Linked DNA regions of Saccharomyces cerevisiae S288C. The gene in region 3 interacts genetically with the main gene of each other region. Each region holds a gene or a part of one and is shown on either strand. Other genes may lie near its edges. The genes, in order: NEM1, NUP188, TCP1 and SDD2.

Evidence for each region.
Region 1: mutations in TCP1 (region 3) and NEM1 together harm fitness more than expected from each alone (negative genetic interaction), as found in Saccharomyces cerevisiae (4 studies listed by BioGRID, with this or other methods).
Region 2: mutations in TCP1 (region 3) and NUP188 together harm fitness more than expected from each alone (negative genetic interaction), as found in Saccharomyces cerevisiae (4 studies listed by BioGRID, with this or other methods).
Region 4: mutations in TCP1 (region 3) and SDD2 together harm fitness more than expected from each alone (negative genetic interaction), as found in Saccharomyces cerevisiae (3 studies listed by BioGRID, with this or other methods).

What each region holds. Positions count from the first base shown.
Region 1 is NC_001140.6:111,254-118,140, forward strand, and holds NEM1 (Nem1-Spo7 phosphatase catalytic subunit NEM1), read right to left. Parts: upstream 1,842-6,887; coding exon 501-1,841; downstream 1-500. Other genes in the region: TCD1 (tRNA threonylcarbamoyladenosine dehydratase), read right to left, coding at 1-64; GPA1 (guanine nucleotide-binding protein subunit alpha), read right to left, coding at 2,246-3,664; protein transporter TIM10, read right to left, coding at 4,367-4,648; STP2 (Stp2p), read left to right, coding at 6,561-6,887. UniProt on the Saccharomyces cerevisiae protein: Catalytic component of the NEM1-SPO7 complex which acts as a phosphatase and dephosphorylates the phosphatidic acid phosphohydrolase PAH1. Essential for the formation of a spherical nucleus and meiotic division.
Region 2 is NC_001145.3:59,365-69,748, forward strand, and holds NUP188 (Nup188p), read right to left. Parts: upstream 8,186-10,384; coding exon 3,218-8,185; downstream 1-3,217. Other genes in the region: MDM1 (Mdm1p), read right to left, coding at 1-2,958; CAC2 (Cac2p), read left to right, coding at 8,930-10,336; CUE4 (Cue4p), read right to left, coding at 10,371-10,384. UniProt on the Saccharomyces cerevisiae protein: Functions as a component of the nuclear pore complex (NPC).
Region 3 is NC_001136.10:883,081-890,427, reverse strand, and holds TCP1 (chaperonin-containing T-complex alpha subunit TCP1), read right to left. Parts: upstream 3,197-7,347; coding exon 1,517-3,196; downstream 1-1,516. Other genes in the region: UPC2 (Upc2p), read right to left, coding at 1-677; GCD6 (translation initiation factor eIF2B catalytic subunit epsilon), read right to left, coding at 3,563-5,701; YDR210C-C (gag protein), read left to right, coding at 6,501-7,347. UniProt on the Saccharomyces cerevisiae protein: Molecular chaperone; assists the folding of proteins upon ATP hydrolysis. Known to play a role, in vitro, in the folding of actin and tubulin. In yeast may play a role in mitotic spindle formation.
Region 4 is NC_001145.3:412,275-418,124, forward strand, and holds SDD2 (Sdd2p), read right to left. Parts: upstream 1,200-5,850; coding exon 762-1,199; downstream 1-761. Other genes in the region: IRC21 (Irc21p), read right to left, coding at 1-599; RCO1 (Rco1p), read left to right, coding at 1,708-3,762; YMR075C-A (uncharacterized protein), read right to left, coding at 3,414-3,779; sister chromatid cohesion factor PDS5, read right to left, coding at 3,922-5,850.

The DNA.
Region 1 (6,887 bases), on a different chromosome or scaffold from region 3:
GTTGGGTTGAAAACACCGATATAAGAGCTGTAGTAGCAATTAACTTCCACGTATTATTTGCCATTTGTTCGTTCTGCTATCCTAACTAATTGCAGTATTAATACTTTACTAACGCTAGAAAATTTTTTCATAGTCTTGTCTCTTTTCGCTACTGCATAAAATATGAAAAAGAAATCAAAAAACCTGACAGCAAAATGTAAAGTAAGATACGGGCATTTAGCGTGTCACTGCTGAAGATAACGTAAGACTAAAAAAATTTCAAGATTAATTCCCAACCTATATATATATATATATATATATATACTGTTTAGATCAAGTATATCTTCCTGCTAAATAATTAATATGCTCGTATGTAGAAAACAAAAAAGAGGTCTTTTCTCTTTTTTCTCCCGTTACTTTTTTCCCTGAATGCAATAACCTTTCCATTAAATGAGCAGCAATGGATAGGCGATTTATCACCTAAAATTCTCATCTTTTTTGGAAGGACACAATAACAATTGTCAGTTTATGTTGAATGCCTTCTCTCCATGTTTCAATGCCAGTATATTCCTGACATCTGTTGAATACCTCATAGCCTCCAAGAAAGGTAACAGGTTCAGTAAGTCCGTATCAGTTGGATCACTTATCCATCCTTCTACTTGAATAGCGTTATCTACATTCATTGCGTAACTTACCGGGCTGTTATCTATAATAATGACATCATCCAAAGAAGAGGAGCTGCCTTTCCCGTTTTCTTCGGAGTCCTTGACAATGCTCAAATCTTTAATGTATCCAACACCATCCCTTAGAACGCAATCAGAACGGTAATATCTTTTTGAAAAACTGGATGGGAAGGAGCTTTCTAACCAATCTATCACAGGATCAGCGTATTCTTTCATGGATGCTGTAAAAATGATAAGGTCGTACCATTTGCTAACTTTTGTCAAAAATAAATCACAGTAAGGCCTCTTGTGAATAAAGTATAGTGTACGAATTCCGCTCAATCCAAACTTCACTTCCACCAAGTGACCCTGAGAAGAATTACTATGCGTTGTACTTCGAGAAGCCGAGTGAATTAAGGTCTCATCGAGATCTATAACCAGTTTCTTTTTCTTTTGTGTGTTAAGCACGGATTTAGGTATCAGCTTCTTTGGAAATAAGAACCTTCCCATTCGTTTTGTACCAAATACGGTATTAGAACTTGAATGATTAGAAAGTGATAGTTCTGATTTGGAATAACTTCTTGGCCTTGATTTGACAGATTGAGCTCTAAGTAATGAGCCTTTAACATTATCCCTTTGTAGAATTATCTCATCACTGGCATTTAAGTCATCCTCAACTGCCTCGGGAATCGTATTTAGATTGCAATTTTTAGGATTTGTTTTCTCGCTAGAATCGTTAATATTGCTTGAACTGACAGGCAGCTCATTCTCACTAGCATTTGAACCCCTGTTTCTCTTATCGGTGTGTTTTACACGACGCTCGATGACACTTAGTGGGAAGGTAAAAACAAACCATAAAGACATCAAGGGCTTGATTATCAGATAATACGGAAGAAAAAGTAGTAGTGCCCACAAAATTGACGCTATTTTCTCTATTAGGATGGAACGTAAAGCTTTTGGTTTTTTAGGAACAGAATTTTTGCGCTCTTGATTTTGATCAGATTCTTTTAAGTGGCTTGAGGAGTGGTCGTACTGTTGGTCCACCTCACTAACGCAATCATTTTCGCTGTGGCTAGTATATTTGTTCGAAACTTCCTTTGAAGGGCCTAGTAGATCTTGATTCTTTGTCACCTCAACATTGATTTTTTTTTGTTTCTTTGTAGTTATTAAATGATTTGAGAAATATTTTAGGGCATTCATTCAATTAATGAAACAATGTCCAGAAATTAACAACAATAAAGAAAAGTGAGAATAGGATGCAAAATAGGTTCTATATATCCCGAGTATTTACCAGGGAGAAGAATTCGAGATAATACCCTGTCCTTACGTAGAAGAATCAATTGTTTTCAAGAGTTTTTCTTCTAAAAAAGTGTCTGGACCTTTTTTTTCTCATGCGATTTTATTACCCTTGTTTTTCAATTGAAAACCCGGAACGATTTAACGAGATCAAGAACTGTTGAACAAAATGGCTTTTTCATTTGGCATTCCATCATAGACTCTAATGGAGAAGAAAAATAGTAATTTTTTCTGGTGCTGCTGCTCCTTCTTGCATCTTCGGAAACAGAATTTACGTATCTAAACACTACTTTAATTATACAGTTCCTTCATATAATACCAATTTTTTTAAGGTTTTGCTGGATGATTAGATCGGTGACTGCACTCAATACGAACTTCATAGTTTGGGTATCGGTAGCGCAGGTTCGTTTCACGTAGATTGGTTTGTTTGTCTTATTCAAGCTCAAAAATATCTTCTCAAAATATTTTAGACCCGCTTCTGCATCGCCGACACGTCCCTGGTAATCAGGAAAGTACTTTCTTATGGGCATGCTTTTTACCTTTTCCTCGAACAAATCAATTTTATTTAAAAACAAAATAAACGGTGTATCTTTGAACCACTTAGAGTTCAATAACGTGTCAAATAGCATTATTGATTCATGCATTCTGTTCACTCTTTCATCCTCAAACAACATCTGGTCGTATTCACTCATTGCTAAAACAAATAAAACTGCTGTAATTCCTTCGAAACAATGAATCCACTTCTTACGTTCAGAACGCTGCCCACCAGCGTCGAGAACCTTGAATTTGGACGAGCCGATGTTAAATTCGGTTTCTGTAATGCCTGTAGTCTTTATACGGCCCTTCAAAATGTCTTCATCCGTACAGACATAATTCGGACTAGCAAATTTCTCAATGTTATCAAAGTAGTATGCAGCTGAGCCCTCCAATTGAAACTCATTAGAACGTGCAAAACACTGCTTTATACCTTTGTCGTTATTCCAAAGTTGCTTTATTGCCTTAGCAATGTCTTCGTGAATAAGATTTCGTCTATTTTGTCCTTGAATTTCCCTTGATGTTTTTCTAACAAACATCTGGTCATCGCCTTCTTGGTTCAAGTCCTTGCAAATATCCTGTAGGTTAATTCTACTACTGTTGTTTCTATCAGCATCCTCATTTTGCGTCACCGTTTCAGCATCTCTGTCAGTGTCACTTTTGACATTAGAAATATTTCCGTCTTCATCGAAAGCAGCTTTTGCTCGTCCGGTACTCTGAACACGCCTCCTAGTTTCATACCTTTCTGAGTACTTCAGTACATAATCATTTAGAAAATCAGAACCACCGGCAACACTGGCGTTGATATAATCTAAAGCTTTAGCCTTTAGCAGTATTCTCTTGCATGCAAACAAATCTTTATTGTTGATCGGATCATCACAGTCAAGTTGAATACCTAGTTTTCTGGCCTGAATAATCAAAATTTTCATTGATTGTATGGCATCTGCCCATATCACTTGAGCATACTGTAACCTTTCTTGATGGGAGAAACCGCCTTGATGTAATAATTTTAATTGTTTTAAAACCGTTGATTTACCTGACTCACCGGCACCTAATAGTAACAGTTTTATTTCATTCTTGTCACGTTGTTTCTCCAGCTGCAACGATTGCTCGATGACATCATTGGCTCTTTTGTTCTGTAGAAAAGGATCACTTTCGTCTCCTATTGTTTGCGTACTCACTGTACACCCCATTATTTCCTACCTTAATATATCAATTTATACACCTCTGGATTATTGATGTGATGCTAAAATACCAATTTACAGTATGAATAGCTTCTACTCAGTTTGGTCTTAGAAATGGTCAAAAATGTTAGAAACGGAGTGACAAGAAAAAATGAATAACAGATCAAAAGATTACGAATAATATAAAACGTAAAGAAATTGGTGGAATTCTACTATCCTCTTCATTTTAGACTATTTTTTAATATTTCCCTTTAAGGAAAACAATATGTAACAAAAAAATTTCTGCTCTCCATTTAATTGCATTTCTACAAGGAAGAATACGCAGAAGGACGCGCAGAGCCCTAAATTGATGTGCTTTTTAACATGCTGAGCCGAGTGCGTTTCGGTGAAATAACACGAAGATGCGTTTCAAATTGAAACTAGTCAGTGTTATCTGCATGAAAAGGGAATATCGTTATGCATTCAGTTTTCCAATAGAGACATTTTTTTTTTTTTAGATTCGGCTTGCTTTATCCACCTATGATCTTGTTTTCAAACAACATGTGCCATGTAAGATAAAAAGGTAAAGATGAAGTACAGAAAAGAGTATAATGTTACTTGTATATACAGGATATGAATCAATAATACTAATTATAACGTTGAGTCGAGTAAAACAGCTTATGGATTTCTTTTCTTATTTTCGTCTTATCATTACTGCTTTAATGCACATTTCTAAAACTTACCGGCTGCGTTAAATGATTGGCCCATTTTCTGCATGTTTTCACCGACTTGAACATTGGTCTCAAAATATTTGGCCACACATCTGTCTAGGCACGAAGATTCATTCTTATTCAGCTCACCCTCGGAATAAGAAGTATTGATACATTTTTTATAACAGTTATTAACCAATTTATTGAACATGTCTGTGACCAAATCTAGTTCAGCTTCCGCAGCTTGAATCTTTTGTTGAGATGATAATTGAGGCTGACCACCACCGAAACCTAAGAAAGACATGTTTTTCTAAGTATGATAGTTCCTTCTTTTGCTTGTTTATCTGTTAAAAGACATGAGAGGGGAACGAGGAGAGTAATAGTTCTTTAGAGAGCTTGCTCTTGTACGTTCACTGCCAGCTCTCTCGCTGAAAAAATTAAAGAAAAAAAATGTCCGATAGCTTCAGAGGGTGATCATCAGCTACGAATTGGGAAATCAATGCAAAAAATGCTTCCAATCGGATTTGAACCGATGATCTCCACATTACTAGTGTGGCGCCTTACCAACTTGGCCATAGAAGCTCTAATAGTGATAGGACCCAGATTATATTTAGTGACTTGTTGATAAATGTTTTAAAATATTACCTTCGTGTCGTTATCGTTACTGAGGAAAGATTTGCAAAAAATAATTACATACTTGGGCTCTTCTGAACGAACAAGTTAACCAAAAAGGTGTATATTACTTCCTCTTGTTTTGTTTCCGGGCTAATGCTTACCTTTCCTTTGTTTCCAATGTTCTTCTTTAACACCAAAACATACTATTTGAGAAATGGGTGAATGTTGAGATAATTGTTGGGATTCCATTTTTGATAAAGGCTATAATATTAGGTATACAGAATATACTAGAAGTTCTCCTCGAGGATATAGGAATCCTCAAAATGGAATCTATATTTCTATTTACTAATATCACGATTATTCCTCATTCCGTTTTATATGTTTCATTATCCTATTACATTATCAATCCTTGCACTTCAGCTTCCTCTAACATCGATGACAGCTTCTCATAACTTATGTCATCATCTTAACACCGTATATGATAATATATTGATAATATAACTATTAGTTGATAGACGATAGTGGATTTTTATTCCAACACTATTTGAGGTTTGGCAACTGTTGAAATTATTGTTAGGACATTGTTAAAAAAGGTTCTTTTATTAGGTCTACAAAAACAAAAAAAGTTTTTTCACGAGGACAGCGTGAATCACAAAGGTGAGGTCAATAGTTTTACATAATAATAAATAACGTTTTTTTTTTCTTCCTTTCATGTGTTGCCTTTCTTTATCCAATTACATTGTCAGCCCTTACATTTCAGTGCCTATTGAATTTGTTGACCACTTCCCATCAGCAATACCATCCTCTTACGCAATATATGATAATATACCCGCGACATAAATATTAGGTTAAAAACAGACGGCAAAATGTGCCTTGGGCGGCAAAATCATGAGAAGCGCACATGTCGTGATATCAATAGCACGGAATTCCAGAAGAGAGAAAATACCAGCACTTATAACAAATGATCACAGTAAGCGTGAAAAAGAAGAGCCTGTTGCTACAAAGAACATTGAAATGATAAAATAGTGAAAGAATTCCAATGAATGGGAATATGGATGGCATTTTGGCAAGAAATTGGGCGGTAAATTTTCGTAAAGCTGATTGATGGTCAGCAAAACTCTCTTCAGAAGAACCAGAGAAATGGGCCAATTCTCACGAAGAAAATTCTTATAGTGTGTAAGCATAGGTAACGATCACGATACCATTAATTACCTGCAGTCAAGAACGAGATTTATTAACTGAAGAAAAAAAACAGACCATTTCCCACAAAAATTGTCGACGTTTAACTTGTGACTGATAGAAAGTTATAAAGTAAGCTATTAATGGAGGTTCTGAACGCATGACATGCTCCTCTAAGGGCTAGAATAGAGATTATAATGTTATTTGAAGATTGAAAGTCTGTTACCCTTCTTAGAGTCATCCATTCGAACGAAGAGTATCTTTTTTTAGAATTCTTATCATTTTTTTTTTCTCTTCACATTCCAATACGGGCAAAAAGCGAGAAAAACGATGATTAATAAATGAAAAACAGTGATTAATCATCCGACAAACAGACAAATGCAAGAGAGCAAAAAGTTGGGGAAGTAAGGAAATCCATTATCATGCCTATCTTATCACTATCTTCAACACGGAACAGCGTGTTAACAAGGATATATGACTACCTTAAAGCATTAGTGCAGCAAGTGATTGTGCCCAATGTGGAAGACGACAAATCTTCGAAAAGTACTCCTTTCGAAAAGTTAGAACCTGCGAAACAGAACCATCCACAGAAAGACTGCTGTGCTACCGAAAAGGACGATCTGGTTGACGTGAGCGAATTATTTCCCAAACAGAACAACAAACAATTGAGTCTAACATCAAAATCTTCAGTTGTACCCTGTGCTTTAAATTTGGATAACCTAGAAACACCTTTCTCAATTAAAATTGAT
Region 2 (10,384 bases), on a different chromosome or scaffold from region 3:
TAAAGCAAAGAGCGAAATAAATAAGTCACATATCTGTTTAACAAAAGATTTATTTTGCGAATAAAAAGGATAGCCAGAATCGGTGAAAAAATGTCTTTCATCTTCATAGAAATTCAATTCACCGCCGTCTTCAGAGCTTTGTAAATCAACAACAGAACTGCTATTACTTGTGCTATTACTACTACCAATAGGTTCATGAAGTGGCTCCTCCAGAATATCATCATGCATATATTCCTTGTTCAGTTTGAATGGGGTAGGATCTGTCAAAAATCTTCTGAAAATGTTATCTTCGCATATTTCAGAAATAGATAATAGTTCTCGCAAGTACTTTTCAAGTTTTTGCTTTCGTTCCTCATAAAGCAATGTTTTTGTAACATGATATTTCAATGACATTTTCACTTTTGACGGGAACAAATCTTGCAACTGCCTCATCAGATCCCTAAAATTCTTTTTCAAATATGTATTTAATTCAAAAAATTCATTATATCTCCTTGCCATATCCCAAGAACTTACCTGCCCATTGTTAAAATGATGGATATTGATGATATAATAAGTTATTTCTTTTAGGCCATTACTAGAATTCTCACTGAAGTACGACCTAATGTATATCTTAGTTTTTCTGAACAAACTATTACCATTTTCTTGTACCATATATTGCTGTTTCAACAGTTCCTTCATTTCTAGTTCCTTTAATAGGGTTCTTTGTGACTTTTTTAAAATTTTCAACTGCATTTGATTGTTGGTCAGATCTGCCTTCAAAATCAAATGCCTTAAAAGTTCAAGCTCTTTCTCAATCTGATCAATTGAAATAGTCAAGGATGCTATATTATCCCTAAAGTTGTTTGACCCATAAAATTGGCTAGGATTTAGGCCTGAATTCCCGCTGGAAACACTTACTTTCTCCATATTACGTGGGTGATCCAACTGATCCTCGACAACAGAAATTTCTGAGGTATTATCGTTTTCATCGTCGAAGAGTTTATCTTTGAAAATGTTGTCATTTTCTGAACCAAAGAGCTGAGAATAACGGGGATTTGAGCTTATTCTTGATTTATGCGGCTTGGATCCCGATCCATTCACTATATTATCTAAAGCATCTGTGATGCCGGGGTTTGCGAATATTCTGACAGGATTCATAAAATCAGTCTTCACATTATCTTTTATTATTTTGTTTTGTTCTGGATTGTTAACACCACCGATTCTACTCAGAAAGTGAGCATATATATCAGTCGAAATGATGTGGGACGTTGAAAGCATTTTGAGAAATGAAGGTGTTTTCTTGAAAAGAGGTAAAAATCTATCATCGAGATACTTTATAGCCTCTGTCTGTAGTAGTAAAACGCTTTTCCGAGCTAGGATAAATGTGTCTTCATCGTTGTTGATTTGAAATGAATTTCTGAAAAGTATTATATTTTTCACTAAACCTTCATCCAGCAATTTCATATTTTGCAAGTTATTGTTATGAAAAAACTTTGAAGAAATCTCTTGCAGTTGCATTGTGCTAATTCCTGAATAACCAGAAATTATATCTTCAGATGTAGCATCTTCCAAGGGATTTTTGAATGATTCAATTGTTTGCGAATACTCTAAAAATGTTGAACCCTGTGTTTCAGGAACACTGCCTAAAAATGATTCAAAAAAAGGAAGAAACTCGCTATCGTCTACAATGTCCTTCAATGTGATGGAGGTAAGAAATGAAGCCATTTCCTTCAATACTATTCCATTATCCATATTTAAATCGGGATAATTAGCCTCTCTTGCAAGCTTTTTGCTTGCCGTATCAATTTCCGAGCCAGGGAACGATAACTTTGATTCAATCAAATTTAAGGAAAGCAGTAATCGTTTCTTATACTTCAAATTTTCCTTGGTCAAATGTTCATTTTCTTTCAATTGGTATATTTTGAGGGCCAATGAATACGCAACATATTTGATATCACTTAAATCCAACAAGGAGTCCAACTGGTTGAGATAATGCTCGAATTGTTTTCCAGTATATTCAGCATTAAGCTCCAATTTTTCACTTGAGGGTTCTCCAACATCTTTGTTCGCTACGTCATTCATCACTTTTCTATGATCTTGTAACTCTTTACTCAACATTCTTCTTATCTTGTGAACTTTGTGCTTTTCCTCGAAATAATTTTGTGAAAGGCTTACAATTCTTAAATTCCAACTATCTGGATCAGTAAATTTGAAAATTAATGGAGAAATAATGCACGTAGTGAGAACTTCCGTCATTAATGTGAAAACAAGCAATGAATCTAACTCATCATTATCAAAAAGGTGAGGAAGGAGCCCGATTACAGTTTTCCTTATGGATTTTTCAATTTCTTTCTGAAGAGCATTCGGCTTCAATGATAATGATTTATGTATTTTGTAATTTTTATTAAACTCAACGGCAATTTGTAGATCGATGTTGGCTGATTTATGCCTTTCAAGAGTCAAATCGCTTAGCACAGCTTCTCTGGCATCACAAAAAGTGCTGAAATGTTTGTTAAATATAGGCAACAGCTTCAGAACAATCAAGCTGGCACTATCATTCTTCATCAACTTGTCCTTCACCACTAGGAGCGTTTGTAATAATCTCCACTTTATTACTTTGAGGAACTCTGCGTCACTATTCTTATCGATTTTTGTGAACCAAGGCTGAACAAAATCTTTAATAATTAAATTAACAATACTCTCTAATTCTTTCCCAATTTGCGCGTTCCCATCTTGTATTAAACCCTCGACAGACTTCAATTCTTTATCAACATCCACAGTATTCGAACTTTCCGGTACGATATCAACAAATCTTGGCTGAGGTTTCGGTAAATCAGGCAAGGATTTGAAGAATACGAAGTACGCAAAGATGCAGACATTAAGAAAGAACCCCAGCGAAAAAGTGATTACCGACCATTGTATCATTGATATTAAGTAAAACAAAACTAAAATCAATCGAAACTGTGGAAACTTAGGCATACGATATCATATCAGAAGGCACAAACACGCGCACTTATGGCGCTTTCAAAGCATGAGAGTCTTCGGTTAATTTACTTATCTTATTGTTTACATATTTTTGAAGTTCGTAAGGCGATGAAAAAAAAAAGTACACAATGGATAGAACTGGGATGGAAAAAGCTCATACAGTCGCAGTCCGCAGTATAGCAACAAAGGGCCACCCTTGCACTTGCACTGTTCATTATTATATTATGTAGCTTTACATAACCTGCAAAATAAGTTAAACGTCCTTAAATAGTGAATCTTGTAATGCTTTAATGTCTCTGCTGATACCCTTGACGAACTCCAATCTGCTTGATTCATCCTCCAACTGCTGTTGCTCTTCTAAAGTTGTAGGTATTATTCTTGAATTCAAGTATTTTGGATGTGTTAGAAACTTGCTTAATGCAGCGCTTAACCTTTTTTTATCATGTTCAGAATCTAGACCAATAACCAATTCTACAGCTTCTTGTTGATCATCAGAGTTTTTAGGCTGAATAAACAATTCTTGGTAATTTAGCAAGTTTAGCATTTTTTGCAATAAAACCAATTGATTCGTTTCCTTTATCAACGAACTTGACACTGCTAACTTGTTGTCACCCCAGTTATATATTGTAGATTTTATTTGTTTTCCAAAATATGAAACAAATAGGCACGTCTCAGGTAAAACCTTGATACCGAACTGACTTAATAGTAGTAGAACAATGGATAACAAACCATTGCTCCAAATGTTGTGCAATCTAGGCGAAAATTCAGGTTTTATATCACCTTGCTGTATTGCAACAGATAGTGGACTTTCCAATAGAACGCTATACAATCCACTGTTGATGAGTTTTGCAGCAATTGGCTCAATAGAACACAATTCGGAGATAAAGGTCAGAGTAATTTGCCCAAGAATTGGTTCATCGTTAATCCTTATCAAATGCGCGCTTGAATATAGGTTCAGTATAACTTTCAAAGTTCCTACTTCGTTTAGGGATGATGCTAGAATAACATTGAAGTTTTTAGAGGGATTCACATTGGTGATCTTCTTGAAGAGTGATAATAATAACAATAAATCCTGAGTATTATCCTCCAAGTTGACAATTTGGGTGGTGTGATCGGTGCTTAAACCCCTCGTGGAGCATTTATTGATCTGACATAATATCTCAGACAGTATCAAATAAACACCCTTACTAAACACTAATTCAAAAAATTCCAGTAGTTGATCAGATATTAATTCGATAAAACGATCTCCTGACGAGACTAACTCGAGAAGAACTAAGACAGATCTCAAAAGAGGTCTATAAAAGTTATTTTTTAGTGACTTACCAATATTTTTAATAAAGTCAATCTCACCAGATTTGAAAATTGTAAAAATCTTGTTCATCAATTCAATTATCTTTTCTTCCTTCAACAATTTTCCCGACAACTTGAACGAATATAAAATGTAAAACGACAACTCAATTCTTTCCAGATATATTTGGGTAAACATTTGTTTATCTGAACCAAAATCAATATTTAACTTGAGGAAATGCTCTACCAAGTCGACAAAACCATCATTTAACGGAACAGTGCTCCTCTTCACAAACGTGGTGATTAGTGCGCCCCATGCTTTTGCGGTAGATATTTCGTAATTGACATACTGCAAATTTAATGAAGCGTCTGTTATTTCCTCCTTAAAATTTGTCTGACTCTTACTTGGTTCGTTCCAACTACGGTCAGCTTTTAAAACTATATCTAATAACGGAATATCATAACCGAAATTCTCATTTTCGTTTATTCTGGATAATGGAATTTTTTGGAACGACTGAAGCTCTAAACTGGGCCATTTCTCTTTAAATTTTAAGTTTAATTCATCATGAAAAGTTTTATTGAACCCATCAATTTGGAAGAAATGATGAACTAATTCAAACAAGTCTTCCTGATTCAAAAAATTTAAAATTTCCGAGTTTGAATCAGTGGAGTTGTAAATACACAACGCAAATATTTCTACAATCCTTGAGATCAATTTGTATTTCTTAATCAAAGAAACAGTTTCGTCACGAGTCAAATTTTCCTTTTTCTGAAATAATTTTTTTGAGTCCTTCAACTTAGCCAATAAGGAATTCACAAATTTAGGATCTTTTATGAATATTTTAGAATTTGTCCAAGTGTTTAAAACATATGTTATCGTTTCTAATAACTTGCAACTTACTTCTTCAGGCGTTGAATCTAATAGTAAAGAATTCTTTTGCAAAACAGTTAATATAGAACTCTTTTTGTCTATGGAGGATTCGTCATTAATTTTTTTATTGGAGGCAAATTGACCTGTTAAGAAGAGGATAGATAACCCATCTTGTTTACTTTCTAATAGGGTAGTAAAAAAAATGTACAAACTTCGGAGAAGGTTCCAATCTTGCACTGGAGAGCTCAGGTCCGACAGGACTTCTTTCAAAAATGCCATTGACTTTGCTTCACCAAGGAAAGATAACAGAAATGGATAGTCGTCATTCCAAGGAGCCTCTACTAAATAGCTTAACAACTCTATGATCTGCACTTTGAAATGAACATAACTTGGTAGGGTATAAACGTCAACCAATTTTGATGAATTTATGAAAAGCAATTTTTCCAGGTTGCTTGGCTTTAAATCACGATTGCTACCTCGAATAGCGATCAAAAGCGTGCACAGCTTGAAGGAGTTATTCATTACCTTGCTATATAAATTACCCAAAATTTTGTCGCCTAAAATTTTTGTTGTGGTATTCAATGGTGAAATCAGAATATTCGTCAAAGTATTTGGAGCCAAATCAATGGAATCCATGGGAGTCAAAAATAACTGCAACAATTTGTTTGCTGACGAGGAAATGATTAACTGATCCTTTTGATGTGGATTTATGGTGAAAACGTCATGAAGTACATCATAAAAAATTAATGTCAAATGGAAGGCAATTTCGAATTTTTGTAAGAAGTTGTTGTACTTCCAGTTGTAATAACTCTCAAAGATATGAATTGCATGTAGAATCAACTTATTAATAATATCAATTTTACTTCTCTTGGAAATATGGATATTTTTCAATGAGAGAGATTCTCGAATAAAGACTTTTGTTAGCTTAAGCAATTGGATAGTGAATGTGTAATCCCCCGTAGATAATTCAACCGAACCGAGTATCATATTGGAAAGACCAGTCTTACCATATTTGTCTAACAAATCCGATTTGTTCAAGTAAGAAGAAACAAGATGAAGGTAATTCGGTGTCAGCATAGTCATAAATTCACAACATTGTACAATTGAGGTATAATCTTTTCTTTGTAGTGATATTTCAAAAATCTCGAAAATTACTTGGATAATCGACGCTCCATTTATGGTGCTGGCTGAAGTATCCAGAGAATTTGATAAATATGACAGAATTTCACTAGATTTCTCGATCGAGGTTTTCGGATCGACAACGTTAGTGACTAACTTTATTATGGATATCATCAATTCATGTTGTAAGTCATCCAGTTGTGTACCCTTTTCCATATATGAATGTAATAGATTTTGCAATATTCTACCCACCAAAGACCAACCATTGAATTTGTAAAGGAAAATAATCAAATTGGAAGTAGTTGGCGGCTGTTGTCCATTCTGTTGTTGTTGTTGTTGTTGTTGTTGTTTGATAGTAAGAATTTTTCCCTTTGTTGATTTTGGTATTGACAAGAGACAATTAGAGTTTTCGTTTTCTAAGGGTGGCGCCACTAGTAAATCAGACTTCAACTCTATCAAATCAGGCACTATAATATCGGAGGATGAAGAAGAGTTTGTTATTGTATCAGCAATTAAGTCATAATCCAAATCGTTCAAACTACTTTTGGTAACAGCAAATGAACATATATCTTTTAATTCAAAATTGGCAAACTCGGTATCAATTAAGGCTAAATTAATTAGCGGGATCAGTGATTCGTTCAATAGGGGCAATTTAGCCTTTATGATGCTCAATTTTTTCTCAAAAGTGTCATTAGTTAAGAAATTCTCAATGAACTGCTCTGGTGCCTTTGAAATTATCTTGGCGAAAACCCGGGAAGTAGATGCAGTTATAGGAATAAAATTTAAAGAAAACTCCAAAAATACTGTTATTACTGTGGTGTAAACAGGATCAAAGGATAGAATTTCTGAGAGAGTATTCAATTTTTGAAGAACATCATGTGATTCAGCAAACAGAGCAAATTTCGTTATGTCTGAATCATCAAATGATTCCGACGATTGTAATGCTCGCCTATAATAAAGTATAAATGACCAGGAGTAATGAATCATTGGATGGAAAATGGGGTCCTCGTTGACGATATTGGTTGCTACATCATTCTCTAGAGCGCTATTGACGGTGTCGAAAGTTTCTGTATCCATGTACAAAGGTGACTGAATATCAAATTGCGCGATTGAAGTGTTCAGTCCAAGTATCAATATAGTTGTGATAGTAAATAAAGATGAAATCCTGGAAATAAGCGTTTCTGAGAGGTAACTGAGGTCTTGGAAATTCTGAAACTTGTACAATTGTAGTGACGAGGTATCTATACTCTTGTCTGTTGAATTTATATTTCTGCAAAATTCAACAAATTGATTTTGATACTGTAGAAACCATTGATTGACGATATCTACTGGTACTTTTGTGTTGAGGATCATTAAATTCAAAATTTGTAATATCTGCAAGATAAACTTCAAATCAGAAAATTTTTTTAACTGCACCAATGAGACAATTGTGAACATGTCTTGATCGTTATTATAATCATGTGCTAAAGATGAAGCTGTAATAATGTCGTAGTTCTGGATTACAGATGATATTATAGAAATCAATTTCCCCACTACATTGAATCTATCGTTGTCAATAAATGAATATGTCTCGAGGTCGATGTCAGGGTTAACGAGAAGTGAGTATACTATATGAAGTCTAGATGATCTCTCAGACATAAAGAATTCTACAGCATGAGAAAGGTCCTCAGATTGAGCAAAGAATGGATCATTATCGACGTTTATTTGCAATAAGTTTGCAATTGTAGAGCGTAACTTGTTATGATCGCCGGAAGAAGTTACATTCTGCCTTATTGTGTTCAGACTCTCGATAAGATTTGTCTTGTTAGCTTTCAAAAACTGTCTTATTTGGGCCAATTGCTTGGCATCCACAGCGGATACATCAGCAGCAGCATCGTTCATAAAATTAGCAACATGAGTGAAGGTCAATTGTGGAGAGGAATTGCCAAATGAAGGTGTAGCCATGGCTGATGGGGTCCTTTTTTTAGCGGTGGAAAGGGTTATCTCTTTATTTGTGTTTCTGTTCGAATATTAAAGATGTCTCAAAGTATTCATTTCAAGAAGAAAATTTTTGGTATTACAAAATATTCTTACCCGGAATATATACATATATACCTTAACTACAAGCAGGAGCCGGCTTTCTGGCAAGGAGGGAGAAGACATAGATTGTTTGCGTATATATGTGGGAATAGCGTCCAAGCACGCCCGTGGCTGAGGGAGCACCACGATCGTTCGGTGTACTTGACACCTCTATATGGTATGTTCTTCCCTGATATTGATATCAGCACAATTACGGCTCTAAGAAACGATGAATATAAAAAACGTTAATTAGGAATTTGACATATGTGCTAGTATTCGGGCCCCTGAGCAAGTTTGTGCGCACGACGCCTGTCCGTTGCTGCACATGCTTGCGTGGGGCCTTTTTGTCGTGTTTTTATTTAGGGACTGTTATCGAAGGAATAGATTTCTGTGGTGAAAAGTAGAAAACTACTAGCTTTTATAGACGGTGGGGGAGAAAAAGGAAAATTAGAATTGAAAAAAATTTGAAAAAATATGAAAATGTGAAAAGGACGCCTTATTTCCTTGGGTTGCCCGGCGAACACGTTAGTTAACTCGCTGTCTAACTGATGGGCTATTATTATAGCGTTATAGTACGTATCAGAATTTAAAAGAAGGAGGCAGAAAAGCTTAGAGCAAAGGGGCAGGACAATGGAAGCTTCACATTTGCAAATCTACTGGCATGATTCACAACCCGTTTACTCGCTCACATTCCAAAAGAACAGTGCGAACGACAAGCTTTTCACCGCTGGTGGTGATAACAAGGTTAGGATATGGAAGTTGAACAGAGATGAAAACGGACAAAATGGGGGGGTGCGTAAGATTGAAAGCCTTGACTTTCTTGGCTCGCTGACGCATCACGAACAGGCCATAAATGTAATCCGATTCAACTCGAAGGGTGACGTACTGGCGTCTGCGGGCGATGACGGCCAAGTGCTGCTATGGAAGCAAGAAGATCCAAATACACAGCAAGAATCTGTGGTCAGACCATTCGGAATGGATGCGGAGACTAGTGAAGCAGACGAGAACAAGGAGAAATGGGTTGTGTGGAAACGGCTGCGTGGTGGTAGCGGTGCTACTGCGGCGGCAGAGATTTACGATCTAGCGTGGTCACCTGATAACAGGAACATAGTGGTGGCATGTATGGACAATTCGATACGACTGTTCGATGTTGGAGCTGGGATGCTGGTATGCGGCCAGTCGGATCATGGTCACTACGTCCAAGGTGTTGCATGGGACCCATTAAATCAGTTTATTCTCTCACAGTCTGCGGACCGGTCTCTGCATGTATATGGAGTCATTCTTTCATCTGCAGGAGTGGTTACAGGGCTGAAACTTAGAAGTAAGATTGCCAAGGCAGAACTGCCTTGTCCAGGTGATGTCCTGAGGACAAATTACCTTTTTCACAACGAGACGCTACCTTCATTCTTTAGGCGATGCAGCATATCGCCTTGTGGTGGTTTGGTCGTAATTCCCAGTGGTGTGTATAAGGTGGCTGGTGATGAAGTCGCGAACTGCGTATACGTGTATACTAGATCTGGAATACTGAACAGCGCTGGTGGCGTTAAAAACCGGCCTGCGATTAGAATCCCATCTTTGAAGAAACCAGCGCTGATGGCGGCTTTCTCGCCCGTATTTTACGAAACGTGCCAGAAGAGTGTGCTTAAGCTGCCCTATAAGCTAGTATTTGCCATAGCAACGACTAACGAAGTACTCGTGTACGACACGGATGTATTGGAGCCGTTATGCGTTGTGGGAAATATACATTACTCACCCATAACTGATTTAGCATGGTCTGAGGATGGCTCGACCCTACTAATCTCATCAACAGACGGATTCTGTTCGTATGTATCGATCGACACAGAAACGCAATTCGGTTCAAGGATAGAGCCGCCAGCGATGCATGCAGAGCCACTAGACACTGACGAGAGCGCGGTAGCGGCTAAGAACCAGCGCGAGGCAGGTGGGATCGTGAACATGCTGCCGGTGAAGAAGATCCCCTGCAATAGTAGCGATAGTAAAAAGAGGCGCATACATCCTACGCCAGTCGATTTGTGATTTTTAATATATTTAATGCGGTACATAAGAATGCCTAATCTAGTTTGC
Region 3 (7,347 bases):
TGTTGCTGAAGTTGGAACGCACCCATATTTCCAGAAGGCAATGGCGGTAATAGTAAGCCATCGATACCTGAATTCAATCTTTCAGGAGAACCAAAACCAATAGTGCCATTTTGAGAGAAAAAGTTATTCATCATATCTTTCTTATTGATGGTACCCTGGAGGCCCATACTTAGAGGAGTCATATTGTTTTTGTCCTCTATAGGGGCCGATGACTTTTCCTCGCTCTCACTCTTAGTTGTAGAGGCGCTTGATGGAAAGGAATCATTGGATGAGCCTGAAGCTTTTACCGCTGATTGGATATCATTGAACGGTGTCTGCTCCTTCTTGATCGTAGGAGGTAAATCTACCGATGAATCAGACTCCACGCTACCGTCTGCCTTTCTCGTGACATACTTCACTACTGTTGCTCCTCTACCTTTCCTTAAATGGATTGGTGTATACTGACATTCCAACTTCATATTTGTGCACTTCCTACAGGCTGGCTTCCCTTCATCACACTTAACTCTTCTTCTTTTACAGTTATCGCACCCATTCTTTGATTTGTTATGGAATTTACGTTTACCGGTTGAAGTCGTACTCACCTTTTTGCCGTCCACTTCAATTAGCTCGATGACTTTTTCTCTTCTTCTGGGTTTTGTCACCGCTTTCTTGTGATTCTGTATACCGACTTCGCTCATACTGCTGAACTGTAAATATTTGTACTTAACTTTTTTTGATTCACTATTTCTGGAAAGCTCAATTTTGTTTTAGTGTTGGATAAATGAGAAAAGATAGTTCCTACAACTTCAAAAAGTTAATGTATGTAAAAAATCGCTGTTTAGAGGAACAGTCAGCACTATCGCACCCTGAAAGCAATATCAATCTTTGACAAAAGAAGTGTCTACTTTCTATGCCGCGACTTTCCAAGTAACTTGTATTTGCTGATCCTGCCAGGGCGGCGCATATATAGATTTCGACAAGCACATTCACTGAAGACAATAGAATAATATTCGTTGGGCGAAAATTTGACGCGATCCCGCTAAGGTGCGCTCGTTTAGAGAAAAAAATAGCTTGGAAAAAACCTTATTTAGCTGCCACATTTAGACAGAATAACACAGCCACTATGGGAGATATTCACCCTGGGGATCATGTTTAGAAACAGGCTTAGCAGTAAGCGCAATTGAATTCATGGAATACACTCCGCATTCTTTTTTATTGCCGCCTTACTAAAATGTAACGCTAGCGTTAAGCTTTTTTCCTTTAACAGGGTTCCTGCTCGTTTACGAACAAACACAATAGTTTGTAGGGACCCGCTTCTGCATTTGGACAAGAAAAACAACTCAACGAAGTCCTAATAGGTACGCGTTATTACGTATTAGTCCACCTCGCACGTGAAAAGCTGGGAAGCGCTTATCAACTGCCCAGAGTTAGCGATCAAATTCAAAAATAGAACTAGCTGAAAAAAATATAATTAAATTTTATATAGGTTTATTAGTTTACATGCAGATACAGAATCTCGTTCGGATTACGCAAAGAATCAATGATCGTGCGGATCTTCTTTGGGTGGTTCTGGATCCACTGTAATCATTGTATCAATTCTTAGAATTGCTACACAAGCCTCCAATGCTGATTTCAAGGATTTGACTTTGCTTATGGTTGGCTCAAGAACACCAGCGTGAATCTCGTCCACAATTTTACCTCTAATCAAATCTAGGCCGTAATTTCTGTAGCTTCTCCTCTTAACGTCCTCTGGCTTGGCCATTTGACTAGCGGCATGGTAGGACCTTAATTTTGCAACTAATTCACTAGAATCCTTGGCAGCGTTAACAGCTAAAGTTTTTGGAATGATTAATAATGCAGCTGCAAACTCAGCAATAGCTAACTGTTCACGAGAACCAACTGTGGTGGCAAAATTGTCCAAATAGATATTCAATGCGGCTTCAACGCAACCTCCACCGGGGACAACATTTCCACTTTCAAGCGTTCTTTTGACAACAGAAAGAGAATCGTGCAAAGAACGTTCCATCTCATCTAAAGAATAATCGTTGGCACCTCTTAAAATGATCGAAGAAGATGAATGTTTAGAAGTACCCTTAATTAAGATACACTCATCATCAGAAAATTTGGCTTGAACTACTTCATCACAAAGACCTAAATAACTGCTTTCGAAAGTTTCCTCACCTTCTAAGTTAGACATAGAACTAACCAAAGTGGCGCCTGTAGCGCGTGCAATTCTTCTCAAATCTTCCTTCTTACAGCGTCTTACACCCATTATCTTAGCTTCAACGAACTCCTTTAAGCATAAATCATCAATACCTTTGGTGGTTAACACAACTTGAGCACCAGCATCAATGATCTTCTTCACTCTTTCCAAAACAATACCAGCTTCACGTTTACGGATTTGCTCCAATTGTTCCGGATCATCAATGTTGATTTGAACACCCATTGCCATACGAGCTTTCTGCAAGTTCAAATCCAAACATGCGATTTTCACATTGCCACCGGCGATACGTTTAGGCATTGCTTGAGAAGCAACTGTACAATTCAAAGCATAACCTGGCACCAACAGTGATTCAGTGGCAGATTTACCATGAGCTTTCAACACATTGACAGCCTTTACGGGATACTTGATTTCTCCTTTGGAATTTTGCGTCTTAACAGCCAAAAGAGCATCTACAACCATATTGCTGAAAAAATCAGAGTCAGCACCAATGATCTTAGAGGACATACTAGTCTTGGCTATATTAATTAACGTCTCTTTCCCTAAAGTGTCAACACTTGTGGAAAGAACTTCATTTATAAAACGAATAGCCTCTCTTAATGCAACCCTGAAACCAGTTATGATGGTAGTTGGATGAATCTTATTTTTGACTAATTCATTAGCTCTTTTCAACAACTCAGAAGCAATAATAACAACACTAGTAGTACCGTCACCAATTTCTCTGTCCTGTTGTTGAGCCAATTCTACTAAAATTTTTCCAGCTGGATGTTGAACATCTAACAAAGACAAAATAGTGGCACCATCGTTGGTGACGGTAAAATCACCAATGTCATCAACAAGCATTTTGTCCAGTCCAACGGGGCCTAAAGATGACTTGACGACGTTAGCCACAGCCATAGTAGCCAAAACATTCTGATTACGAATATCATCACCACTTATTTTTTCACCTCCTAGGAAAAGGGTATCTGAGCGCGAGTTATTGAATAATTGGGACATCGCTAAGTTATTACAAATATAAAAGTCTTCTGTCTATTGTTATTGTCCCTTTCTTGTACTCTCTCAGTGGCCTCTCTTTTGCTTAAGTTATTTACTCTTCATGTGATACCACCGCATTTCAATTTTTTTTTTTTTCAGTTCTTTGCCACTTAGGACAAGGTCCCTCGGCAAGTGAAAAAAAAAAATCTGAGATTATTATTTCAGTAGTACTACTGAGGATAAAAACTAATATGATAAAAAATATATATATATTTGCTTTTTGCTTCTGTAACATGTAAATTACTAAATCTATATAGCGCTCACCTTTTTCTCATATTAAAGCCTTTTTATGGTAATACATGATTATGCAGGGTACTGCGTGGACTTTTATTCCTCTTCTGAGGAAGATTCTTCGTCAGCATTCTGTAACCACTCAACCCACTTTACAGTTAATTTCTTGACTTCATCATAGCGAGGGTCAGTAGAAACATTATCCCACCATTTATAAATGACATCCTCCTCAATTATGTCATTATCGTATAGAGAAACCAATGCACTAAATAGAATCAAATCCGGTTTGTCAAAACTCTGTTCTACAATTTTTTCCATTATGATGTTCATCAAATCAATATACTCTTCTTCATCAAAGGCTTGTCTCTTGAACAACAGTCCCCACTGATTAAAAACCTTCACCACAGCGTCCTTGGGACCTAATGTTTGAGTTGCAATAAAGTGGTAAACTCTTCTCAATAATGCAGTTATTGTTGCTATTCTCACCTCATGATATGTCACGTTCATACTCATTCTCAAGGTGTTCAATTCTAATAATGCTGTGTCAAGATCATGATTGTTTTCCATAGCACGCTCCACGGTGGCAATACCTTCTTTCTCAAAATCTTCGTCCTCAAATTCAGAATCAATTTCTTCTCTATCCGTGTATATACTATTGACAGACATCGTTCTTCTTTTCTTTGTCTTTTTAGTGGCGGAAGAAATTGAATCGTCACTTAAGTATAACTCATCTAATTGGTTACTCAAAGTGTTTATTTCTTTGCAGGCTTCTGTAGAACTATCTTCATCGTCAGACACCTCGCTTTCGTAAATATAACCAACACCCTTATCTCCAACAATAGAAACGGCTAGTGTCTGATCATCAAGGTCTTGGTCAAACTGCTCATTGCTTTCATTATCATACATTCTTGAGCCGGCATTTTTTAATGGACTGGCAGATATTTTTGTGTTTCTATCTAAATCCATATTATCATCAATTTTAACGTTGAAACCAATTATACAGCCATCATTTAGGCGTACATTACTCCCTAACGTGGCATTAGAGGCAATTAATGAATGGTCAATTATACTGTTATTTCCGATGATACAGTCATCCCAAATGAAACTGTTCTTGATTCTAATATTTTCACCGATTTGGCAGTTCCTTCCAATCACGGAATTCTCAATTTTCGTACCCTCTCCGATTTTTGTTCCTGATCCAATTGCAGTGCACTTACCAATTTTACAGGATTGGGCCAAAACAACGTCTTTTTCCTTGTATATATGTCTTGATTCATAAGAATACGTTTGATCGTCCTGTATGTTAGAGTCTAAGACCAAGGGATAACACCATCTACCTAAAAAGTCTTGAGAAATGGTGTCGTAAGTTTGCCAACTTTCAACTCTTACAGCATATTCGTCCGTCAAATAGGCATATATATGCTTTCCCAATATATCGCTTGAAATGACACCTTTAACAAAGTCTGTCCTTAATGATTGGTAGTCAAAATTTTCTTGAAATATCAAAGGTACATGAGATGTACAAATGTCAATTCTACAATCGATGAGGTCATTCCTTATGACAAATTCATCGACATTATCCAACAATTCTGGGTCAATCTGAATGGAAGTCTTCTCTCTAGAGCTTGGTAATGGTAAATCTTGGTAATAAATACACCTACTGGTGGATTTGTCTAAGACAAATGCGGCAGGCTCAATAGTTCTTGTTTTTGGATAGGTACTCGCTTTGCTCAAACACATTGTCGAGATGTGATCTTTATCTTGCAAATGCATTTTTTTGTGAAATTCTAGCATTTTGCTGAAATCGATGTTAGTCAATACATCACCACTGACTAAAATAAAATCTCCAGTAATGATACCTCTATTATCTAGATCTCTCATAACATCACCCGTACATCTAGCTTCTGGAGACATAATGGTGGTAATTTTAAATGGAGACCAAGGCAAGTTCCACTTAGAATTCTCAATATAGTCATTAATTTGGTTGGCATGAGAAGAGCAAATTAAGAAAACTTCATGTACGCCAGCCTTAGCCAAAAATTCTAAGGTGTATTCAATGAGAGGTACGTTAGCCAGTGGCAGCAAACACCTTGGCTTGACAGCTGTCAGTGGCATAAACCTAGTTTCATAAGAGTCTGTCAAGACAACGGCCTGGAGACGATCTTCAACATCCATATCAGAGTTCTTTCCATGGTTGCCTAGTCCACTTTTCTTTTGTCCCTTTTTTCCAGCCATCTTTTGCCTTATGAGTGGTTTCTATTCTATTTTTAACACAAGACCACTTTTAGTTATTTTTATACTTATCCCACAAGGTGGTCCATCTGCCATCTTTGAATTGGTGATTTAACTCTTCGCATTAATCTACTGAAAAAAAAAAAAAAAAAAAAAAGAACTGAAAACCATCTAAAGTCAAATAAGCTCATGTAATACGGGCATGTTGCAAACGCGTGTGAAAAAAAAAGAGAAAGTGCTCGAGGTGGGGTTTGAACCCACGACGGTCGCGTTGCTTTTAAAGGCCTGTTTGAAAGGTCTTTGGCACAGAAACTTCGGAAACCGAATGTTGCTATAAGCACGAAGCTCTAACCACTGAGCTACACGAGCATTTTCGAAAGAGACGTAAATAACATTGTTATTTATACTGGAATTAGTACTAATAATTTTATTAAAAAAAAAAATAGCTCTTTCTGAGAATTCTTTGAATTTTGGGAAAATTGTCGGGATATTAGTGTTAAAGAGGCCATTGTTGGAATAAAAATCAACTATCATCTACTAACTAGTATTTACGTTACTAGTATATTATCATATACGGTGTTAGAAGATGACGCAAATGATGAGAAATAGTCATCTAAATTAGTGGAAGCTGAAACGCAAGGATTGATAATGTAATAGGATCAATGAATATTAACATATAAAACGATGATAATAATATTTATAGAATTGTGTAGAATTGCAGATTCCCTTTTATGGATTCCTAAATCCTCGAGGAGAACTTCTAGTATATTCTGTATACCTAATATTATAGCCTTTATCAACAATGGAATCCCAACAATTATCTAATTACCCACATATATCTCATGGTAGCGCCTGTGCTTCGGTTACTTCTAAGGAAGTCCACACAAATCAAGATCCGTTAGACGTTTCAGCTTCCAAAATTCAAGAATATGATAAGGCTTCCACTAAGGCTAACTCTCAACAGACAACAACACCTGCTTCATCAGCTGTTCCAGAGAACCCCCATCATGCCTCTCCTCAACCTGCTTCAGTACCACCTCCACAGAATGGGCCGTACCCACAGCAGTGCATGATGACCCAAAACCAAGCCAATCCATCTGGTTGGTCATTTTACGGACACCCATCTATGATTCCGTATACACCTTATCAAATGTCGCCTATGTACTTTCCACCTGGGCCACAATCACAGTTTCCGCAGTATCCATCATCAGTTGGAACGCCTCTGAGCACTCCATCACCTGAGTCAGGTAATACATTTACTGATTCATCCTCAGCGGACTCTGATATGACATCCACTAAAAAATATGTCAGACCACCACCAATGTTAACCTCACCTAATGACTTTCCAAATTGGGTTAAAACATACATCAAATTTTTACAAAACTCGAATCTCGGTGGTATTATTCCGACAGTAAACGGAAAACCCGTACGTCAGATCACTGATGATGAACTCACCTTCTTGTATAACACTTTTCAAATATTTGCTCCCTCTCAATTCCTACCTACCTGGGTCAAAGACATCCTATCCGTTGATTATACGGATATCATGAAAATTCTTTCCAAAAGTATTGAAAAAATGCAATCTGATACCCAAGAGGCAAACGACATTGTGACCCTGGCAAATTTGCAATATAATGGCAGTACACCTG
Region 4 (5,850 bases), on a different chromosome or scaffold from region 3:
CATACAACGCCAATGAAACAAACCTGTAATAATTTTTCATAGTTAACCCATTGATGATACTTATTAAAATATGTAATCAAATCGTCACTATTACGGTGCTTTATTAAGATGTCCGTACCACCTGGATGGAACTTCAAATAACTAGAAATGTCATAGACTTTGCCGTTTATAACGCACCATAACTCGTCCTCACCTTTACAATGCTTCTTTACGATTTTTCTGTTTATTCTTAAGGGTGGCATTATTTTATAAAGGGGTATCTTTTGGACAAGCAATTGGTTCTTCAGTTGTGAAGGTGAAAACTTGAAGTTATCTTTTTGAAATACCGGATCATCGAGTAAATCCTGGATAAGCTGTAGCGAAACGAATTTTGTATAATAATTCGCTGGATTGGAGGTTAGAGAGTGCCAGTCCAGAGCACTGTGCCCAGGATCTAGTCTTATTTTGGTTCTTACAAGAGGCTTTCTTGACGACTTCGACATGGGCATATGCAGCGGGGATGATATGGCAGGATGAGCAACGCTTAGTCGCTGAGGAGCAGCGAATCTGACATTTGGTTTCGAGTTTGAAACATCTCTGTTCATGCCGTCACTACTCATATCTCTATGAGTGTAATCTAAGCACCTGCTAATATGTTATATTCTGCTTATTCGTCCTTTTGCTACACATAATTAATGTAACTTTAACTCTAGTTCTATAAAGGATATGATTTGTACTAAATGTAACATTATACGAAAAAACATATTATTCGTTTATATAAACTAATCAAAGAAGTCGTCATCATCTTCGTCGTCATCATTTTTAGCATTCTGCTTGTCAAATGAATTCAGATCTTCGCTGAAATCTTTCCGTTCGAAGATAATCTTACTGTTATTTTGTGAATTTTGTTGCTTGGCGATACCATTCAAGATTGAAACAATTTCAGCTTCAGTGATTTTATGAGTGACGTTGTTTGTAGCAATCAGTTTCTTTAAGTATGTCTCTACTGCTTGGGCCCTGTCTCTACGGACCAAGGCCACTCGAGATAATCTTTCTAAAGCTTGTGGCTCCAAGAAATTTGCAATAGCTGCACCAACGGGAGCGGAATTTTCACCTCCACCATTATTAGCACCGCTATTTCTATCGCCGTTGGTACCCCCACTGTTGTTTTTCAACTGAGCCAATCTGGCTTCCCTAATAGCTTGTAACTCTGGGTCCATATCTGAGCACACACTTCCTCCTGAATTGTAATCCAGAGAGCAAGAAGATTTTTCAACTTTTACTCTTGGTTCTCCTTGTAGAACCACAAGTGGTATAAAAATTCTCGCTTACCCAGCCCAAAAATTCTCATCTGTTTCTCATCTGTTTCTCGTCCGAATAAGTTTCCCGTTCGCAGCTAGGATTTCACCTGCTCACCATAATAGGCAACTTTCTTCCTCATGTAGGAAATTATACTATTGCTCTCTGTTGCAAGGTTATTTTTGAGCCTTAATACCATATTAGTAGATATAAATACATATATATCGTGTTAACCCATAAGTGGTAGTTTTAGTAGCTCGCTGCAAGATCTGCCTCATTCCTTTGTAGAGAACGACGTACCCACTACGCGTTTGAACATTTGCAACAAGCACGAGAGGAAGGAAGAAGAATACCAAGTATAAACGAGAATAATCACCATAGAAAAACCTATAAAAGACACTTCCATTACCATCTGCTAATAATAATACAATGGACACCAGCAAGAAAGATACTACTAGGTCGCCCTCACATTCCAACAGTTCTTCTCCTTCATCTTCTTCTCTCTCTTCATCTTCTTCCAAAGAGAAAAAACGTCCTAAGAGACTATCCTCCCAGAATGTAAATTACGATTTGAAAAGGAGAAAGATCATCACTTCTGAAGGTATAGAAAGATCATTCAAGAACGAGCATAGCAATCTTGCAGTTGAAGACAATATCCCGGAAGAAGAACCCAAGGAACTTCTTGAAAAGGACTCCAAGGGTAATATCATCAAACTTAATGAGCCATCCACCATCTCGGAAGATTCGAAGGTATCTGTCACTGGATTGCCGTTAAATAAAGGTCCTTCTGAGAAAATCAAGCGAGAGTCTCTTTGGAATTATAGAAAAAATTTGGGAGGCCAATCGAACAACTCAGAAATGACGCTGGTCCCCAGTAAAAGATTTACTCAGGTGCCGAAAAATTTTCAGGATTTGAACAGAAATGATTTGAAAACGTTTTTAACTGAGAACATGACTGAAGAGAGCAATATACGGTCAACTATTGGTTGGAATGGCGATATAATAAACAGAACTCGTGACCGTGAACCTGAAAGCGACCGCGATAATAAAAAGCTATCAAATATTAGAACCAAAATAATACTTTCAACGAATGCTACCTATGATTCAAAAAGTAAACTATTTGGCCAAAATTCCATCAAGTCAACATCGAATGCGAGTGAAAAAATTTTCAGGGACAAGAACAATTCAACCATAGATTTTGAGAATGAAGATTTTTGTTCGGCTTGTAATCAGTCAGGTTCTTTTTTATGCTGTGATACATGCCCCAAATCCTTTCACTTTCTTTGCTTAGACCCACCAATTGATCCGAACAACCTGCCTAAAGGTGATTGGCATTGTAATGAATGTAAGTTTAAAATCTTCATAAATAACTCAATGGCAACTTTAAAAAAAATTGAATCCAACTTCATTAAGCAAAATAACAACGTCAAGATTTTTGCTAAATTACTTTTCAATATCGATTCCCACAACCCAAAACAGTTCCAGCTACCAAATTATATAAAAGAAACCTTTCCTGCTGTGAAAACGGGTTCGAGAGGACAATACTCTGATGAGAATGATAAGATTCCATTAACTGATAGACAATTGTTTAACACTTCTTATGGCCAAAGCATAACTAAATTGGACTCTTACAACCCGGATACACATATAGATTCAAATTCAGGTAAGTTTTTAATTTGTTACAAATGCAATCAAACCAGACTAGGTTCATGGTCTCATCCAGAAAATTCAAGATTAATAATGACTTGTGATTATTGTCAGACTCCATGGCATTTGGATTGTGTACCGAGGGCTTCTTTCAAGAACTTAGGTTCAAAATGGAAATGTCCTCTACATTCCCCAACTAAAGTTTACAAAAAGATACACCATTGTCAAGAAGATAATAGCGTAAATTATAAGGTGTGGAAAAAACAACGATTGATAAACAAGAAAAACCAACTTTATTATGAACCTTTACAAAAAATAGGCTACCAAAATAACGGGAACATTCAAATCATACCAACAACTAGTCATACAGATTATGATTTCAATCAAGATTTCAAAATTACACAAATAGATGAAAATTCCATTAAATATGATTTTTTTGATAAAATTTACAAATCAAAAATGGTTCAAAAAAGAAAACTCTTTCAATTTCAAGAAAGTTTAATAGATAAGTTAGTATCAAATGGATCCCAAAATGGCAATAGCGAGGATAATATGGTCAAAGACATAGCCTCTTTAATATATTTCCAAGTTAGCAACAACGACAAGAGTAGTAACAATAAATCGGCTTCCAAAAGCAATAACTTAAGAAAATTATGGGATTTGAAAGAACTGACTAACGTAGTCGTGCCGAACGAACTAGATTCTATACAATTCAATGACTTTTCCAGCGATGAAATAAAGCATCTGTTATATTTAAAGAAGATTATCGAATCCAAACCAAAGGAAGAACTGTTAAAATTTTTAAACATAGAAAATCCCGAAAACCAATCCGAATAGAAACGGCGTACATACATAAAGAATAAATCAGGAACGTGAACACCTTCCTTACATATATACACACATACATAGGCATATGTATCGCATCTTAAAGTGAGAGATCTACCTATTTTCCTTTTTTTTCCATTTACAACATAGCAATTGATGTTTTTTTCCCTTCTAAGTCATCTCGATGTCATCATCTTCATCGTCTTTGTAGTCAACTTCTTTCCTGACCCTCAATTTCTTCATCACAATATTTTCGTGCCCTTTCTTGGTTTCATTTTTGTTAGACGGTGAATAACTGTCATCATCACTGTCTGATTCTCGATCCCCATCACCTTCTTCGTCGTCAGCCTGTGATCTCGCATGATGAACTTTCTTCTTTTTTTTTTGTGATTCATTGTTTTCGTGAGCTAATAACCTCTTTTGAAGCCTTTGTCTTTGAGTTTGTGACGTGTGAAGAATCCGTCCGATTTTAGCTTTTATATTGTTTTGTATTTTTTCAGTCAAGCTCTCTGGTATGTATGTTTTGAAAGATAACTGGGCCTCCTGAACCGTTGCAAAAGGTTTGAACAAATCTGATGGTAAGTTTAATTTACCTGGATATGCTGAATGTTGCCAATTTTTCTTCTCTTTTAAATTCAATAGAATCATTTGCGACAGCTCACCTATGATATACATTTTCTGACCGTAAGGTCTATGCTTCTTTGGCGCTTCTTCTTTTTGTGGTCCTTCTTCTTCATCAATTTCATCCTCAACTAACTTATCTTGATAGTTTTTTACCCTTTCTGATAAATAATAGAGCAAACTGAAGTTCTCTTGGGCGGCAATAGAGTCAAAGTAAAACAGCAAATAATCAATCGCTGTTGTTAAAGCATTTAGATATGCGTCTCCTTCGGAATCTAAACCTCCCACAATATCAGGGTGATGTGCAATCGCATGTATCAACCTAGGCAAAGCTCTTTCAAATATCGTCCCTTTTTTAAATGATTTTAAGCCAAATGTAAAGTTTATCCATATCTTCGTTGTGGTTTTCAGTTCGACATCTGGTTCATAAGCAGTAAAAAATACTAGTGGTAGGAACTTTATGGAAATCAGTTCATTAGCAACATAATCTTTCAGTTGTTCCAAAAATGTTTTTCTTACTGGCAGCGATTCATCTTCAACCAAATTAATTAATTTAATAATGTCCGAAGGTTTGATAAAGTTGTTCAAATTAGAAATCCTGGCCAGTTTTAAAACTTGAATTCCTGCCACACACCTCAATTTTGTTTGATAATTACTGGGGGTGGGATAAAACTCCTTGTTAAACTCGGAAATCAGCTCACCACCACTTGCAATCAAGTAAAAGAATAACTTCATAGTTTTTTCGGTGAAACTTTCTGCCAATTCATCTCGTGGAACATCCGGAGCAATTGATCTCAATTTGTTGGTGAACAGCTTTAAAGTAAACACCTTATTACCTATTGCAGAATATTTCGTGTCACTTAATAGAGAATCTTCTACCCAGTCAATTTCTTTTTTTGAATCACCAACGACCTGGTTTGATAATAGAACTTCTTTAATTAGGTATGATATGATATCAGTGGAATCATCATTTAGGACGTGAGGGAATTTTTTAAATATTTCCATGAGTACAATAATATGAGATGTAAAATACTTGTCTTTTTGCAAATCTAAAGGTAGGATACGTATTTTTATCTTTTTCAGAGTTTCTTCAGCTTTGGGCGATAAAGCGATAAGTTTTGTGGCGTATTTCGTTATTTCTGGTTTACTTTCAACTGCAAAATCGTATAATTTGGTGAAGAAAAACGTGTCGTCAAAATCCACTTGATCCTTTAATGTTTTGGAAGCCTTGTAAAGGGTTTTTAAAGCTTCTTCCAATGACAAGTTATCATTTTTTTCTGCATCTGGATCATCCAAATCCTTGATAATGGTTTTTAATGTTCTAATCTGATCTTTAAATAATGTGGGATTGACTTTCGATATATCATCCAAGATTCTTCTTTTCAAATCCAATTGTTTTGCGTCAGAATTATTAGATAGGTTCAATAAAACACTGATGTTGGATACATTATAAATTATTGGTGAGGCTCTAAAAAGCAA